3 linked regions of the Saccharomyces cerevisiae S288C genome follow. The protein of the gene in region 3 binds, or shares a complex with, the protein of the main gene of each other region. Each region holds a gene or a part of one and is shown on either strand. Other genes may lie near its edges.

Evidence for each region.
Region 1: IOC2 (region 3) and ISW1 share a complex: the UniProt entries of both Saccharomyces cerevisiae proteins name them as parts of the ISW1B complex.
Region 2: IOC2 (region 3) and IOC4 share a complex: the UniProt entries of both Saccharomyces cerevisiae proteins name them as parts of the ISW1B complex.

The regions. Positions count from the first base shown.
Region 1 is NC_001134.8:706,755-714,079, reverse strand, and holds ISW1 (chromatin-remodeling ATPase ISW1), read left to right. Parts: upstream 1-2,540; coding exon 2,541-5,930; downstream 5,931-7,325. Other genes in the region: snoRNA-binding rRNA-processing protein ENP1, read left to right, coding at 1-1,076; RRT2 (diphthamide synthase), read right to left, coding at 1,326-2,489; glutathione peroxidase GPX2, read right to left, coding at 6,064-6,552; ALG7 (UDP-N-acetylglucosamine--dolichyl-phosphate N-acetylglucosaminephosphotransferase), read left to right, coding at 7,287-7,325. UniProt on the Saccharomyces cerevisiae protein: Catalytic component of ISW1-type complexes, which act by remodeling the chromatin by catalyzing an ATP-dependent alteration in the structure of nucleosomal DNA. They are involved in coordinating transcriptional repression, activation and elongation phases.
Region 2 is NC_001145.3:353,804-359,200, forward strand, and holds IOC4 (Ioc4p), read left to right. Parts: upstream 1-1,580; coding exon 1,581-3,008; downstream 3,009-5,397. Other genes in the region: transcription factor MCM1, read left to right, coding at 68-928. UniProt on the Saccharomyces cerevisiae protein: Functions as a component of the ISW1B complex, which acts in remodeling the chromatin by catalyzing an ATP-dependent alteration in the structure of nucleosomal DNA.
Region 3 is NC_001144.5:328,148-334,505, forward strand, and holds IOC2 (Ioc2p), read right to left. Parts: upstream 3,969-6,358; coding exon 1,530-3,968; downstream 1-1,529. Other genes in the region: GIS3 (Gis3p), read right to left, coding at 1-1,091; serine/threonine protein kinase KIN2, read left to right, coding at 4,443-6,358. UniProt on the Saccharomyces cerevisiae protein: Functions as a component of the ISW1B complex, which acts in remodeling the chromatin by catalyzing an ATP-dependent alteration in the structure of nucleosomal DNA.

The sequences.
Region 1 (7,325 bases), on a different chromosome or scaffold from region 3:
AGGAAGAGATAGTTGAAATCGATGAAGAAGACGCAGCGATGTTTGAGCAATATTTCAAGAAATCAGATGATTTTAACTCTTTAAGTGGTAGCTATAATCTTGCAGACAAGATTATGGCCTCTATCCGAGAAAAGGAAAGTCAAGTTGAAGATATGCAAGATGATGAACCACTTGCTAATGAACAGAATACCTCAAGAGGCAATATTTCATCCGGTTTGAAGAGTGGAGAGGGTGTTGCACTTCCAGAGAAGGTCATCAAAGCATATACTACGGTAGGTAGTATTTTAAAAACTTGGACGCACGGTAAGTTGCCAAAGTTGTTCAAGGTTATCCCATCCTTAAGAAATTGGCAAGATGTCATTTATGTGACCAACCCGGAAGAATGGTCACCACACGTTGTTTACGAAGCAACGAAATTATTTGTATCCAACCTAACTGCTAAAGAATCTCAAAAATTTATTAACCTAATTTTACTTGAACGTTTCCGTGACAATATCGAGACCAGTGAAGACCACTCTTTAAACTATCATATATACCGTGCGGTGAAAAAATCGCTTTATAAACCAAGTGCCTTCTTCAAAGGTTTCCTATTCCCATTGGTTGAAACAGGGTGTAATGTACGTGAAGCGACAATTGCAGGAAGTGTGCTTGCTAAAGTCTCTGTTCCGGCTTTACATTCTTCAGCTGCCTTGAGTTATCTTTTAAGGCTACCTTTCTCTCCACCTACAACTGTTTTTATCAAAATATTGCTCGATAAAAAATATGCTTTACCGTACCAGACGGTGGACGACTGCGTGTATTACTTTATGAGGTTTAGAATTTTGGATGACGGTAGTAATGGGGAAGATGCTACAAGAGTACTCCCAGTGATATGGCACAAGGCTTTCTTAACATTTGCACAACGTTACAAGAACGATATTACCCAGGATCAGAGAGATTTCTTGTTGGAAACTGTTCGTCAAAGAGGCCATAAAGATATCGGTCCTGAGATTAGAAGAGAACTATTGGCAGGAGCCAGCAGGGAGTTTGTTGATCCACAGGAAGCTAATGATGATTTAATGATTGATGTCAATTGATGCTGTAATATCAATTTTTCATCAATTTTATATCGCTCGGTCTTTCCCCCTTTCAACAAAGCTTCTGAATCATGTATAATAAGTAGAAAATATAGAGTAAAAGATTATTGTTCAGGCAAGTTCCTTCCTATCAATTCTTTATGCATAATCTATCGAAATCATCAAAATATGGCCTATATATTAGCCTATATATTAGCCTATATATTAGCCTATATATTAGTCCATATATTGCAGACTGAATTTTTTTTTCTAAACTATCCATGTTTGCAAGGAATTATCATAAAATGAGCATGTTGCGATCAAAGAATTTGACCAGTCGCCACCGTAACACATCGAATCATGGCCCTTCTTCAGATAATGTTGAATTTGAAAATACTCATCGGAATTATCATTCATGGTCACCACCTTGGCACCATTGTACATGCAACAAACTAAAAGCCGATCGGAGCCGTTGTGGTGAGATTGTTCCTGATCAATGGGGGATTCAACAAATCTCCAAACACCGCCACCAAGATCACACGCCAATTTATTAACTGTGGGGACATTTGCACCAGGAAATATGGACTCACCCATCATCCTTAAATCCAGAGAACGAATGTTATCATCATAGGATCCAGTTATTATGGACGTGGGTTTATTATTTCGAAAGTTAGGTTGACTACACTTAATGCTAACAACACCAGCATCATGAATACGATTATTACTCCAAATGAATTCTTTGGAACGTAAGTCGTGGGCCATAATTCTCGAATCATCACCTCCTGTAAATACAACGTCTTGAAAAGGCTGTAGAGATCCAAATTCCGCAGTCCAACACTCGAGTTCATGGGGTTTCAAAAATTGTCCCGATTCAACATGAATGACTTTTTCGGTTGCACCTTGAACTTCGTAATCTATTTTATCTAGTTTTGAGTAAGCCTGCGCGATTGCTGATGCCGTGAACTGTACAGATAGTGTTCTTATATCAATGGTAGCTGCTTCGCCTGCCGTATTTGTTACAAGTAATTTCTTACAATCAAGTGGGGAAAAATGGCACGAGGCAATGAGAACATCTTTTTCAAAGAGTTGTAGATTTGCAATTGCATGAATATCTAGTTCGTTTGATTGGAAATCATCCTTATCTGTGCACCGTATCCTCCATAGCATGATATTACCTGTCGAATGGGCCGTGCATATCAATGTATCATCAAAGGGGGATAACTTCAAATCTAGGATTGCGCCATACGTATTATTCGAACATAAAAGTTTGAGGTCCATTGTGAAGACATCCAGTGAGCCTGACCTGTATCCAGTTGACTTATCTAAATCATACGTCCCAACAAGGATGATCTTATTCCTGAATATTCTCAAACAACACGGCGGTAGTTTTGTTTTCACTGCATTTAGTACATCTGATTCTTGAATAGAGTCCATATGTATAGCTATGCAAAAACCAGCTAGAGGTGGATGTAGAAATACCCTATTATGGCCTATATGTTAGCTATTGCAAATTTTCACTTTTTCAAGTTCTATACTAGAATGAGAAAAAAACACGAAAACAATTCTTGCAATGAAAAGGACAAAGATGAGAACCTATTCAAAATTATTCTCGCCATATTTTTGCAAGAAAAAAAAAAATACGATTGTATTTCATCTGGTTCAATTATGACTGCTTCAGAAGAGTACTTGGAGAATTTAAAACCGTTCCAGGTCGGTCTCCCTCCACATGATCCTGAATCGAATAAAAAACGTTACCTGCTGAAGGATGCTAATGGTAAAAAGTTTGATCTGGAAGGCACTACAAAAAGATTTGAACATCTGCTATCCTTGAGTGGTTTATTCAAGCATTTTATTGAAAGTAAAGCCGCTAAAGATCCCAAATTCAGGCAGGTCTTAGATGTATTAGAAGAAAATAAAGCAAATGGCAAAGGCAAAGGCAAACACCAAGATGTTCGTAGACGAAAGACTGAACACGAAGAAGATGCGGAATTATTGAAAGAAGAAGACTCGGATGATGATGAGAGCATTGAATTCCAATTCAGAGAATCACCTGCTTACGTTAATGGTCAATTGAGACCTTATCAAATCCAAGGTGTCAACTGGTTGGTGTCTCTGCATAAGAACAAAATAGCGGGTATCCTTGCTGATGAAATGGGTTTAGGTAAGACCCTGCAAACTATTTCATTTCTGGGATATCTTAGGTACATTGAAAAAATTCCAGGTCCATTTTTAGTCATTGCGCCTAAGTCTACCTTAAATAATTGGCTGAGAGAAATAAATAGATGGACGCCAGACGTAAACGCCTTTATTTTGCAAGGAGATAAAGAAGAAAGAGCTGAACTGATCCAAAAAAAACTTTTAGGTTGTGACTTTGATGTTGTGATTGCTTCTTATGAAATTATTATAAGAGAAAAGTCGCCCCTTAAGAAGATTAACTGGGAGTATATTATCATTGATGAGGCTCACAGAATCAAGAATGAAGAGTCAATGCTTTCGCAAGTCTTAAGGGAATTTACCTCACGTAATAGGCTGTTGATTACTGGTACTCCTTTGCAAAACAATTTGCATGAACTATGGGCGTTATTAAATTTTTTGTTACCAGATATCTTTTCCGATGCACAAGATTTCGACGATTGGTTTTCTTCTGAAAGCACAGAGGAAGATCAGGATAAAATTGTCAAGCAACTCCACACTGTTTTACAGCCTTTTCTACTACGTCGTATCAAAAGCGATGTGGAAACATCCTTACTGCCTAAAAAGGAACTGAATTTATATGTCGGTATGTCTAGCATGCAGAAGAAATGGTACAAAAAGATTTTGGAAAAGGATCTGGACGCTGTGAACGGGTCTAATGGCAGCAAGGAATCCAAAACAAGACTTTTAAATATCATGATGCAACTTAGAAAATGTTGTAATCATCCATATTTATTCGATGGTGCTGAGCCAGGTCCACCGTACACTACGGATGAGCACTTGGTTTATAACGCTGCCAAACTTCAAGTTTTGGATAAGTTATTGAAGAAATTGAAGGAAGAAGGTTCTAGAGTTCTGATTTTCAGTCAAATGTCAAGATTATTGGATATTCTCGAGGATTATTGCTACTTCAGAAACTATGAATATTGCAGGATCGACGGTTCCACCGCTCACGAAGATAGAATTCAAGCCATTGATGATTATAATGCTCCTGATTCTAAGAAGTTTGTTTTCTTATTAACGACACGTGCAGGTGGGTTAGGTATCAATTTAACGTCAGCAGATGTCGTTGTCTTGTATGATTCAGATTGGAACCCACAAGCAGATTTACAAGCAATGGATAGAGCGCATCGTATTGGTCAGAAGAAGCAGGTCAAGGTATTCCGTTTGGTCACAGATAACTCCGTGGAAGAGAAAATTTTAGAAAGGGCTACCCAGAAGTTAAGATTAGATCAATTAGTTATCCAGCAAAACAGGACTTCTTTGAAAAAGAAGGAAAATAAAGCAGATTCCAAAGATGCTTTATTATCCATGATTCAACATGGTGCCGCCGATGTATTCAAAAGTGGTACATCTACCGGTTCAGCTGGTACGCCGGAACCTGGTTCAGGAGAAAAAGGAGATGATATTGATCTGGACGAACTTTTACTGAAATCAGAAAACAAAACTAAGTCATTAAATGCAAAATATGAAACTTTAGGTCTTGATGATTTGCAAAAATTCAACCAAGATTCGGCCTATGAATGGAATGGTCAAGATTTCAAGAAGAAAATACAAAGGGATATTATAAGTCCGCTACTGCTCAACCCCACCAAACGTGAACGTAAGGAAAATTACTCTATTGATAATTATTATAAAGATGTTTTGAATACAGGAAGGTCCTCGACCCCATCACACCCCAGAATGCCTAAGCCTCATGTCTTCCATTCCCATCAATTACAACCTCCCCAATTGAAAGTCCTGTACGAAAAGGAAAGAATGTGGACGGCGAAGAAGACTGGTTATGTACCGACCATGGATGACGTAAAAGCAGCATATGGCGATATTTCAGATGAAGAAGAAAAGAAACAAAAATTGGAATTGTTAAAATTGTCGGTTAACAACTCGCAACCATTAACTGAAGAGGAAGAAAAGATGAAGGCTGATTGGGAGTCTGAAGGATTTACAAATTGGAATAAATTAGAATTTAGAAAATTCATCACGGTATCTGGTAAATACGGTAGGAACTCCATTCAAGCCATTGCGAGAGAATTGGCCCCTGGCAAAACACTAGAGGAAGTTCGCGCATATGCTAAGGCCTTCTGGTCTAACATTGAAAGAATTGAAGATTATGAGAAATATCTGAAAATAATTGAGAATGAAGAAGAGAAGATCAAGCGTGTCAAAATGCAACAAGAGGCTTTACGTCGGAAGTTGTCTGAGTATAAGAATCCATTCTTCGATTTGAAATTAAAACATCCTCCTTCTTCTAACAACAAAAGGACGTACTCTGAAGAAGAAGATCGTTTTATCCTTCTCATGTTATTCAAGTATGGCTTGGATAGAGATGACGTATACGAATTAGTGCGTGATGAAATTAGAGATTGTCCCCTATTCGAATTAGACTTTTACTTCAGAAGCAGGACACCTGTAGAGCTAGCCAGAAGAGGAAATACATTACTGCAATGCTTGGAAAAGGAATTTAACGCAGGGATTGTATTGGATGACGCCACTAAAGATAGAATGAAGAAAGAAGATGAAAATGGTAAAAGGATAAGGGAAGAATTTGCAGATCAGACCGCTAATGAGAAGGAGAACGTTGATGGAGTAGAGAGCAAAAAAGCGAAGATTGAGGATACGTCGAATGTTGGAACTGAACAGTTGGTAGCAGAGAAAATTCCGGAAAACGAAACCACTCATTAAACCTTCTTTTTTTATATTTCGATTTTTTTTAATATATCCTACACCATGCTTCTGAAGAAAAATATATAATCATACTAATCTATAAATGTATTATTTATTGTTCCGGATAATTGCTTGATTATAGACAAAGATATCATTTACTTAACAGGCTTTGGATTTCTTGGTCCAAGGACGATGGTTTTGTTAAGGAGGAAAATCTTTGGACAACCTTACCATTGGAATCAACTAAGAACTTTTCAAAATTCCATTTGATACCCTTGAAACCTAGTAAACCTGCTTTTTGGCTTTTCAAATAATTATAGACAGAGTCAGCATTACTTCCGTTAACATCAATCTTCTTCATAATTGGGAATGTAACGCCATAATTCAACTGGCAAAATTCCGTAATTTGTTCATCAGAGCCCGGTTCCTGCTTCCCGAACTGATTACATGGGAACCCCAAAATAACAAACCCCTTATCTTGATATTTTTTGTATAGTTCTTCCAATTCTTTATACTGCGGCGTGAAGCCGCACTTGGAGGCAACATTAACTATGAGAACTACTTTGCCTTTCAGTTGGTCAAACTTAAAAGATTCGCCTTTCTTGTCCTTGCATTCTAAATCATAAAAAGATGTGGTCATTTTGAATTATTACTTTTTGTTGCTAATTGTATTCTTGTCAAGGTCAGCCATGCAGGGAAATGCAAGTTCTCTGCGCTACATCACATATTAGCAAATAGTAGTTCTTTATATATCAAAACAATAACAAAAGTACCTGCACATTTTTTAAAGCAGGCTGGCTTAGGGGCTTTGCACTAATACGGAGACAATGGAACTAATGCCTTTCACGATATGTGTGGCAGATATTGTGGTTTTAAACTCTTTGTCATCGGAATTACTAATTGTCTAGATATGGCCGGCCGAGTAGCCTCTAAAAAATATTAAACAGTTGAAAGTAAAATTGCTTGGAAAACACTACTGAGTCGTTGGTCATTTCAAGAGACTGCATCTATCAAAAATAGTCAAGATTTGTGTACATGTTCGTCGTACATTTAGTAAGTAACGTCCGTATTTTCCTTTTTTTAGCGGATGATGAGTAAAAAATTTCTTGTGGATTTATATGTTACGAATACAAACACAGAGGTTGATGCATGAATTTTTTCTAGCTACTACCATGTGTTTAATACAATAATAGTACAGGTTTCCTTCATCTCCTGTATATGGCCCTTTCCTTTTATATTGCCTCAATCTCGAAAAATGCTTTACTAAACAGCGCGAAAATTAAATTGTTAACATGTGTATATAACTGTGAAATATGTAAATAAAAACTTTATCAAGTAGAGCAAGGCGGAGAACGGTAACAAAAAGTAGACTATATGTTGCGACTTTTTTCACTGGCACTTATCACATGCTTA
Region 2 (5,397 bases), on a different chromosome or scaffold from region 3:
ATCAAAAAAAAGTTTTGGATCTGCAAGACTTGCTGTCACGCAACAATATTATAGCCACCCAGCAAAAATGTCAGACATCGAAGAAGGTACGCCTACTAATAATGGGCAACAGAAGGAGAGAAGAAAGATAGAAATTAAGTTCATCGAGAATAAAACAAGGCGCCATGTGACATTTTCCAAAAGGAAGCACGGTATCATGAAAAAGGCGTTTGAGCTTTCTGTTCTAACGGGGACCCAGGTCCTGTTGCTAGTCGTTTCAGAAACAGGTTTGGTATATACTTTCAGCACGCCGAAGTTTGAACCTATAGTCACGCAGCAGGAAGGTAGAAACCTGATCCAGGCCTGTCTTAACGCCCCTGATGATGAGGAAGAAGACGAGGAGGAAGACGGTGATGATGATGATGATGATGACGATGATGGTAATGATATGCAACGCCAGCAACCACAACAACAGCAACCGCAACAACAGCAACAAGTATTGAATGCACACGCAAATAGCTTAGGCCATCTAAATCAAGATCAGGTACCGGCAGGCGCGCTGAAACAAGAGGTGAAGTCACAATTGCTAGGCGGTGCCAATCCTAATCAAAACTCAATGATTCAACAGCAGCAACATCACACGCAGAATTCACAACCACAACAGCAACAGCAACAACAACCACAGCAGCAAATGTCACAGCAACAAATGTCACAGCATCCTCGACCACAGCAAGGAATACCACATCCGCAACAATCGCAGCCACAGCAACAGCAACAACAACAACAACAACTGCAACAGCAGCAACAGCAGCAACAACAACAACCCCTCACCGGCATTCATCAGCCTCACCAACAGGCTTTTGCCAACGCTGCCTCCCCCTATCTGAATGCTGAACAGAATGCTGCCTACCAACAATACTTTCAAGAACCGCAACAAGGCCAATACTAATCTTATCGATTTCCGTATATAATTCATAGACGAGCATTAAGAGGAAAAAGCTGTTTCCGTACCAATTAAAGAAAGATAGACAACAAGAACAAAAACGTACATTACTCTATATTGAAAAAAGCCCTATGTCGGTAAAAGAATAGGAAGTACCTTAGTCATCGGCACTTACCTTTTTTTTTACGATTACTTCTGGTTTGTTTCTTTGCCTCATTTCATTTTGCTGCCACTTTCTTTCATAGGCAAGAAGATTCAATCAAATCTCCCCTTCTCCTTCCCCGGATATATAAAATATAAATATAAAACTTTAAGAATATAAAAATATGAGAAACCACACATAACTTGTATACTTTACTCACATACACACATTTCCAAAAAAATTATAATGTTAATTACATTGCTTTTAATGCTAATCTTTTTTTAGTTGTATAATCATTACCATATAAATGCCTCTCGGTCTAATTTCATTGCCAGTATTGTAAGTTATATACTTTTATACGAGTGTACGGAAAATATCGTGGCTCCCCGTTAACAGTGAAATAAATCTACGCATGTAGCTGCCAGTTTTTTAAGCGTTATATCAATATTGGTAAAGTAAGAATTGACGAAGAAATTGTTAACTACATTTTTCAGAACGGCGTGTCATTCTCCGATAATGTCTGAAGCGATATTCCAGCCAACGGACATTGTCCTTGCCAAAGTTAAAGGCTTTTCAGCATGGCCAGCAATGATTATCCCTAATGAACTCATCCCAGATAACATCCTCAAGACCAAACCTGTGAGTGTCCACAAAGGCAAATCAGGTAGTGATAAAAAAGCAAATGAAGATATAGATGCAGACATGGAATCAGAGGCTAGAGATCGAGAGCAAAGCGAAGAAGAAGAAGATATAGAGGATTTTGGTGAGAGTGAGGCTAATCCTGAAAAATTTATAATATACACTCCCGTTCTGAAGTTTCGTAAAAATGATACGTTGAAATCGACTTACTGCGTCAAGTTTTTTTGCGATGATTCTTATATCTGGGTGAAGCCCATGGATATGAAGATTCTAACAAGCGAAGATTGTCGTAAGTGGCTAAGCGGCAAACAGCGGAAGAATAAGAAACTCATACCGGCATATGAAATGGCTATGAGAGGCAAAAATGGAATTGATATTTGGGAATTTGTGGAATATGGGTCTTACGGCAAGCCAGATGAAGAGGAATATGTAGAGGAAGAGGAAGAAGAGAACGAACCTGAAAAAAAGGCTATAAGGCCAACCAGGTCTTCCAGTAGACAGCGTCAGAAGCGCGCCTCAGAAACGGAAAAGAGTGAGGGCGGTAATAGCAATAAAAGGAAAAGAGTTACTAGATCGACTAGGCAACAAGCGATAGATGCTTCAGAAGAGGAAGAGGAGGAAGAGGAGGAAAAAGTACAAGAGGCTGTTAGAAAGAGGCCGCAAAGGACCAAAACTAAGAAAGTTGTAGTATCCAAGACTAAACCAAATCCAAAAACAAAGGCAAAGAAAGAGAAACCTAAACCACCTAAGCCAATCAAATATCATTTTGAAGATGATGAAGATTGGAGCATTGTTGGGTTGGGCCCACAAGATCTATCAATCGAAAAAACGATGGATCCGATTGCGAAAAAACTGTCGCAGAAGAAAAATCTAGAAAAGCATGTGGAGATTAAGCTAGATCTGGAGGATAAACTAGCAGGTATCAACAAGCTCCTGTGTGATGTCTTATGTTCAGCCATTAACCAGGCTGTTTCGATAAAGGATGATTTCGAAATAATATTAGATGAATTGCAGATTGCCCTTGACACCAGGGGGTCCAGAAACGAATTTATAACAATTTTCCAATCAAATAATTCCCTACTGTTAAACTTTAGGATATTATTTAACTTAAGAAAAAGGGAACTGAACAAATGGGATCTGTGGGATCGTTTCCAGGATATTTTCAAGCATATTTATTCCTACCAGTTCATACCTGATACGGAAGATTGGCAACTAGAGCAAAATATGGAAATTGAAGAAATGGATCGGGAAAAGCCGAGCTTTAGTGAAGACGTAAAGGAAGAAGAAAGCAAAGTAGGAGCATGACCTGTTGCTATTGCAGTTGATGTACTCTGCTTTTGAACAATAGAGGGGAAACCTGTGTACTATAAAATAGACTAAAACTATGTAACTTGTGTATGTTCTGATATGTATGACGCAGTCTTTGATAGTCCAAAACTCACCTAGACTGTGCTGTATTATTACAATTAAAGTTCTAAGTCTGTTGTGCATTATCATTTGAGAAATGGGGGAATGTTGAGATAATTGTTGGGATTCCATTGTTGATAAAGGCTATAATATTAGGTATACAGAATATACTAGAAGTTCTCCTCAAGGATATAGGAATCCTCAAAATGGAATCTATATTTCTACATACTAATATTACGATTATTCCTCATTCCGTTTTATATGTTTCATTATCCTATTACATTATCAATCCTTGCACTTCAGCTTCCTCTAACTTCGATGACAGCTTCTCATAACTTATGTCATCATCTTAACACCGTATATGATAATATATTGATAATATAACTATTAGTTGATAGACGATAGTGGATTTTTATTCCAACATACCACCCATAATGTAATAGATCTAATGAATCCATTTGTTTGTTAATAGTTTGAATGTTTTTATCGGAAGAGGTTTGGTCATTACGTCTGCAATATTCTTTTTGGTTTCGATATAGCATACGTGCAGATGATTTCCTGATACTTCATCTCTCAGTCTCATTGCTTTAGTACCAAAAAATCTGTTTCTAAATTTCTCTTCATTATTGGATATAATTATACTGATTGTAGATTTACTGTCGGTTAGTAATCCTTTGGTAATTGGTTTCTTGTCGAGTTCTTGTATCAGGTAACTTAGATTATTTAATAATGGGACAGATTCACTTATTGCGTGTATTTCTGCTTCCGTAGTTGAAGTACATGTTAATGAAGCCTTGGTGGACTTTCCTCCAATTACTTTTCCATTAAGTAAATATATGTTGCCAATTTGTGATTTATAATACGGTTGGTTACCATACGATGCATCGCTTATAACAACTAATTTATTTGTTGGCTTAACAGGTTTGCTTTTGTGCCATATTAATTGCTTATCTCTCGTATTCCATATGAACTGTATCAATTCATATGTCATATCTAACACTTGCTTGGACGGAAATAGTATATGTTGTGCAAGTGTGTTGATGTAGTATAATAGGTCAAATCTAAATTTATATCCAACATATGATGCTAGACCTATCAGCTTTTGCATTTCATGTACCTTCATTTTGTAATCATCTTCTTCTAGCTCTAGTTCTTGCTGGTCTATATATAGACCTGGTTGACCTGGAGCGCTAAGTTTCCTTCCTTTTGGGTTCAAAGGTACGTTTAGTTTGGGTATTTTTTCAGTTAATGAGTTTTCCATACCCAATTTCATGTATTTACCTCTTTGGTATTTGATTTCCAAGCCAAGAATGTCATATTGAATTTCCTCATCACTTTCGCCTAGATTTATAATCTTGGTGTCGTATTGCATCTTAAGCTTGTCTATAATTCTTTTGTTTGAATTTAGATTTTTGCTAAACAGTACCATATCATCTACGAATAAACAAATTGTCACTTGACTGTTTTCAAATACGCATGACCATCCACGAACTTCTTCCATACCACACTGTTTTATCAGGTATGATTTGATAGTTTCGTACCAGTTCGCTCCACTTTGTTTCAATCCATAAAGTGATTTCTTCAAACGTATCAACTTATCATTCATTCCTAAATGTGGTGGAGGTCTTATGTATAATTCTTCTTTGATGTCTGCATACAAATATGCCGAAGATATGTCTAATTGTGTAATATAGTAGTTATTGTCTAATGCAAGTGACAGGGATGTCATTAATGCATAGTGATGTACGGTATTGGATTGCATGCCTGAGTCGTAAGTGTCAGGATGCTGAATATCACCTCTTGCAACAAATCTAGCTTTATGAGTACCGTCACGTTTCCTGTTGAAGATAAACATTGAATTTATTACTCTTTTAGGGTCTATTTCTTTTCTGTCATAATATTTGTCAGTGTCCCAAGTTTTCATCTTCAACAGTTGATTGACTTCTTTGTGGTATGCCTCGATATATTTTTCTTTTTCTTTAATATCTTTATTATAGGTGATTGCCTCATCGTATCGTAAGGTTGTTCGTATTGGTTTGATTGATTTTACTGCTTTTACAGCTGCAATCAGGTGGATTCGTTTCTTCGATCTCGGAGGTTCTAAACTACGCATATTCTTAGTATTCCATGTGTCTCGTGATACCTTAATTTCAGTTTCATTATCTTCTAATGATCTTTTCTTACTGTTGATAGTAGTATAGGCATTAGAGTCACCAATACCACCCAAACTGGAATTAGTTTGACGAGAATTGATCGGTGGAAGTTCTTTAAAGGAGTCTGATAATTC
Region 3 (6,358 bases):
AACAGATGGTCATCTACTTCGACTTCGGGTAAAATACTCTTCCTTTTACATGATGTTTCAATAGAGTATAACTTTAGGAAATTGGTATTCAAACTTTTTTGTCTTATTCTTTTATTGGGCAAGAGCTCGCTAGATGCAATCGAACCGTCGGTCTCGGGCGATGGTGATGCAGATGGCCATTGTTCTAATTCTACCAGGTCATTTTCGTAAATCATGTTTTCTGTAGTCGATTTGCTCCTACTCTTCCTTCTTGAAGTCTTGCCGCCTTTCTTGTCGATGATTTGGAAGTCCACAGAGGTCGGACGAAGTTTGGCATCGGACGACGCAGAAACCAGTGAAAGGGCAGAGGACGATCGCGGACGCCGTTCGTATACGGGAGGAAAGATATCGACTAAATCCTTAACCTCCCAGTCGTCGAACAAATCGAGATCATTTATGTTTATTATTTTCATTTTGGGCACGACCGGCTCAGCCAGTACCTCATCGCCAATCGCGGGGGTCTGCAAATCGACAGCGTCAGCAATATCATCTGTCAAGGGATGAAGTTTAGAGGAGCTCAATGAAGAACAGTCGCTTTGAGCTTCCTCGGAGAACTTCCTCTTTATGCTCTGTGTTAAGTGGCCCTCATGTATGGGGCATTCGCCCGATAACGTCTTGGCGGAATTTGTTTTCCTAACTTGCGACATGACCGAGCTTAAGGACGGGGTCATCAAAGATGAGCGATTTTCGTTCAGCAGTTCGGAATCGTCTCGAGCCTTCAGTATTCTAGTCCTCTTGAAGCTATTCCTCTTGGTTAGTGTTCTAGTACGTTCAGCGCTTCCTTGACCATCGAACTGCGGCTTAGTGGAGTGGAAATAAATCTCATCGCTCACCGTCCTATTACTTGTGGCGGTCTTGTTCATGCTGGCGCTGGCTAACTTGTTATTCTTCTTATTAGTAGCGGTAGCGTAAAATGACTTGGGATAAAATACCTTTGATGAGTCGCTCCATGAGTGCAATGCGCCATCATCACGTATGCTTTTGATGAGGCAATGTTCATGCACATGAGCATCGTGCATTAGTGTGTGATTTGTGTTCACGTCCAGCAGCATTCTATAATTATGTCTTGTTGAAAGTGTTCTGTATGTTCGTGTCTATCCAAAGAAACAAGTAATTGAGAAAACTAGCCATCAAATACTTGTGAAGAAGCGAGTTTCCATTCTCTGTTTCACTCGTTTGGCGTTCTCACCATCCCACTTTTATTTCATTGGCTTTTTTAACACAATAAGGCGCCTTCAGCACCTTTGCCGCGCATTAAGGATGGCCACTGACGAAAAACCGGATAAAAAAAGACGAAAAAATGCCGTCTGACCCTAGTCAGGAGCCGCCTCATACACCCTAATTATTTTGGCGCTAAGCCCTAAGCATCATTATTACCCGACATGAAGCGACAGAAGCCCTACGGATGTGCGGCTGGAAAAGAAAGTTTCATGAAGAACCAGTTGATATATATTTTACTATATACTTTTGCTGTGTATTTCTATATGAGGCTAGTTGGTTGGTGGGAACTGGAAGTGAAAGTTCTGTTCTTTAGGGTGCAGCGGTTGCTGTTGCTGTTGCTGTTGCTGTTGCTGCTGTGGTTGGATTGATGCTTGTGATGTTTGTGGTGCCTGTGGTGCTTGTGGTACAGTTTTGCTGCCAGTTTGCTGCGAGTATGTAATTATGGGGTGAGCGGCATTTACATTAGGTGCTGGATTGATGGCTGGATTTGTTTTTTCGTAAGCGGCGATACTAGGCGTTGTGCTACTTGACATGTTTGCAAATGCATTATTAAACACTGGAGGTGAGACAGACTCGGTTAGTTCCCTTTTCTTTGCAAGCTCTTCGAGCCTTTTCTTTTCTTCCTTCATTTTTTTTCTTCTTTCACGGTCTTCCTGTTGTTTTCTTTGTTTGGCCCTTATTATTTTCAATTCAGGCACAAAAATGTTGCGCAGCTCAAGTTCCAAGTCCCTGATGCACCAAGCGCAGATAAAAGTGGAGCATTCAGACAGCGGTTTGCGTTTATCAGTAGGTCTTGAAGACTTGGTGCTGGGTTCAAGTGTGGATTGGGGTCTGCGAGAAGACCTTCTATTGCCGTGCGAATTTCCCATTATGATGACGCCAAAATCACGTTGCGACAGCGTGTGCTGTGGGGATTTTGTGGTTGAAGATATAAGCTCTATAATTTTTGGAGGTTGGCATTCCCAATGCTGCCACCTGTAACAATGATCACAGCATATCAATGGGCGGTTATTGAAGAGGTCAGTCTCCGTGTCTTCGGTGATAATCATGGGCGCCAGCTCTGGTTCGCCCGGACATTGGAAAACAGAATCTTGGTTGTCGGGCTCTTGCTGCGGAGTAAAGATCCCGTAGTTGGCAAGCTCATCTAGCTCTTCCTTTGTTATGCAGAAGTCACTAGGCAATTCAGGGACGTCTCCCGTCTGTAGTGGCCCAACAGTTCCAGGAATTGGTGGTTCCACCGGGATTATACTAGATTGAAAGTTAGGGCCGTGATCAAGAACTCCGATATCGATTTCATTTAAGGGATTGTCCTCCTCCCTGCCCAAAGACGTTTCAAAAAACGGTGTACCAGAACCACTTCTATCTTTGAGCTCGTTACGCCTGGTCAATTTTTCATCTCTATAATCTTGATCGTACAATTGCCACAATTGGTTCCAAAGAAGATCTTTTATCTTTTTGATTTCCTTCGACACTAGCTTGTTTCTGTGCCTTATAAATTGTTCTCTTTCATCTAGTTTTTCAAACCACTCACTTTCCAAGTCTTTTTTCTTGTTTTCTTCCTCTTTCGCTACCAGTCTCGAAGATCTTTTCCTCCTTGTCATTAGCTCCGCAATTGCTCTCTCCTTTTCTCTGTTGGCCAAAAGTTTTGCCGAATATAGTCTATGTTCGGCATACACCGGTATTAAGTTAGTTATGAACTCATCTATGGCTTTCGAACTTTTATTCTCTGACCAGTATTCTAGCATGGACCCCCAATTAGTTGTAATCACATCATAATCAATTGTAATCGATTGAAGATATGCATCGATATCGTGAGAGTACTCGAGATGAATAAGCTCCACTGAATCAGGAATGTCTGGGTCGCTTTCTTTTATAGTACAGTTCTGTAGTTTTATTGGGATATTCAGAGTTTGAGAGACTTGGGAGGAAGAGCCTTCTTTTACTCTGTGAATGGTTTTCTTTACGAGTACACCAACATTGGGTAAGGCAAACAAGCTCTTCATTTCCTCCCCTCCACTATTATCATCATCCAGTATAACTTCACTAAACGTAAACAGATGCAAGTTATTCGCTAAGTAGTTTTTGAAGATCATATTTTTCATTTCAATTAATTTTATGATACTGTAAATGATGTCGAATTGGCGTGCAATTTCAAGCTCCAAAAAAGGTAAGTCCGTAACCAAATCTGAATACGCGCTCGAGTTTTGCAAGTGATGGTTAACTATAACATTCCAATCTTTCAATTGCCCGCTTTTATTTCCCGCTAATTGATGCAATAATTGCAATCTAATTCTGTCGTACAAATTTTGCGATCCTTCATCTACGTCGACTTCATCATTGTAATAGTTCGAGTCCTTCCCGTCTATCTTCGAAAATACGTCAGTTACAAATACACCTTCATCGAATTTGATATTCTTCCACAAGCATTTGGTAGAGCTACCGCCATACTGGTCAGTATTAAATGTCGTTGTAGTATATGATTCGCAGACATTGGAAAGCCAAGCCATCACATACTGGAAGTGCCAGTGATTGGCCAAGTCCGCGATCTTCTCATCTAATATTTCAGAATACGGCAGCTGGTGCTTGTTCAATTGGGCTATTATGTCTTCGGAGACATATTCTTTCCAGTCTTCACTATCCGCATTCGCAGCGCCGGCAGGCATGCTCGCTCCTACATTTCTTGTACCCCTAGTTCTCTTCGTTCTCATCGATCGCTGATTCACCGCTTTGTATCTATATATGATTAGCCAGTGTGTATGAGTAAAATAGAGCAATTGATCTAGTTTCTTAGTCGTGTCACTATTGAATAAATAAATGTTAATGTTGCTGGAAAGGAAGAATTATGTCACTTTTGACGCTCTCGCATTCCGTGTGCGGTGATAGCGGTAACTTGGTCTAGCAACGAAAATTTAAAAAGGTTGGAAAAGGAAAAGAAGAGCTCAAGTGGACCTAGAAGTCCTGCTTTGCCACCGTTTAAGCAAGGAATAGAGCACGCCGTTGACACAAATTCACAGTCAAGGACGGGCCACGAGAACTTTATTACAAAATATACTGCATTACACGAAATTCAGCGGAACTCTGAGCGCGAACAGCATTAGGTACCGAGAAACGCTTTTCAAAAGAAATTTCTAAAAGTTTTATTGTGCCATTAATATCGCGGCTCAATTGTTAAGTATTTCACTATGCCTAATCCGAATACAGCAGATTACTTGGTGAATCCAAATTTCAGGACCAGTAAGGGCGGATCTTTATCGCCGACGCCAGAAGCTTTCAACGACACGCGAGTTGCTGCACCAGCCACTCTTCGCATGATGGGCAAGCAATCTGGACCAAGAAATGACCAGCAACAAGCACCACTGATGCCTCCTGCAGATATCAAACAGGGCAAGGAACAGGCAGCTCAGAGACAAAATGATGCATCGAGGCCTAATGGCGCCGTGGAATTAAGGCAATTTCATAGAAGATCTTTGGGAGATTGGGAGTTCCTTGAAACGGTTGGCGCAGGCTCTATGGGTAAAGTTAAATTGGTCAAGCATCGTCAAACAAAGGAAATTTGTGTAATAAAGATTGTTAATAGGGCTTCCAAGGCTTATCTCCATAAACAGCACTCTTTACCTTCCCCAAAGAATGAGAGTGAGATATTAGAAAGACAAAAGCGGTTAGAAAAAGAAATTGCGAGGGATAAAAGGACTGTTAGGGAAGCCTCTTTGGGCCAAATCCTTTACCATCCTCATATCTGTCGTTTATTTGAAATGTGCACTATGTCAAACCATTTTTATATGCTTTTTGAATACGTTTCCGGTGGACAGCTGTTAGATTATATTATTCAGCATGGCTCATTAAAGGAACACCATGCGAGGAAATTTGCCAGAGGTATAGCTAGTGCGCTGCAATACTTACATGCCAATAATATTGTTCATCGAGATCTGAAAATTGAGAATATAATGATATCTAGTTCAGGTGAAATTAAGATCATTGATTTTGGTCTTTCCAACATTTTTGATTATAGGAAACAATTACATACGTTTTGTGGTTCCTTGTACTTTGCAGCACCAGAACTATTAAAAGCGCAGCCATACACAGGACCTGAGGTAGATATTTGGTCGTTTGGTATTGTTCTTTATGTCTTGGTCTGCGGTAAAGTACCATTTGATGATGAGAACTCAAGCATTTTACATGAAAAAATAAAAAAAGGTAAAGTAGACTATCCTTCACACTTATCCATTGAAGTTATATCTTTATTAACCAGGATGATTGTTGTCGACCCATTAAGAAGAGCAACATTAAAGAATGTCGTTGAGCATCCATGGATGAACAGAGGATACGATTTTAAGGCTCCATCATATGTTCCTAATCGTGTTCCATTAACCCCTGAAATGATAGATAGCCAAGTTCTGAAGGAAATGTATCGCCTAGAATTTATTGACGATATTGAAGATACAAGAAGATCATTGATCCGATTAGTAACTGAAAAGGAATACATCCAACTTTCCCAAGAATACTGGGACAAATTATCCAACGCCAAGGGGTTGAGTTCAAGTTTAAATAATAACTACCTAAATTCAACGGCACAACAAACCTTAATACAAAATCATATTACAAGTAATCCATCGCAAAGTGGTTATAATGAACCAGATAGTAATTTTGAAGATCCTACTTTAGCATATCATCCATTACTATCAATATATCACTTGGTTTCAGAAATGGTTGCACGGAAATTAGCGAAGTTGCAAAGAAGGCAAGCATTGGCCCTGCAAGCGCAAGCTCAGCAAAGGCAACAACAGCAACAAGTAGCACTTGGCACTAAGGTCGCCTTAAATAATAACTCCCCGGATATTATGACCAAAATGAGGAGCCCTCAGAAAGAAGTAGTACCTAATCCTGGTATTTTTCAAGTGCCGGCAATTGGAACATCGGGAACCTCAAACAACACTAATACCTCAAACAAACCTCCACTGCATGTAATGGTTCCTCCTAAACTAACAATACCGGAACAAGCGCATACTTCTCCAACATCTAGGAAGAGTTCCGACATTCATACGGAATTAAATGGTGTTTTGAAATCAACACCAGTCCCCGTGTCTGGCGAATATCAGCA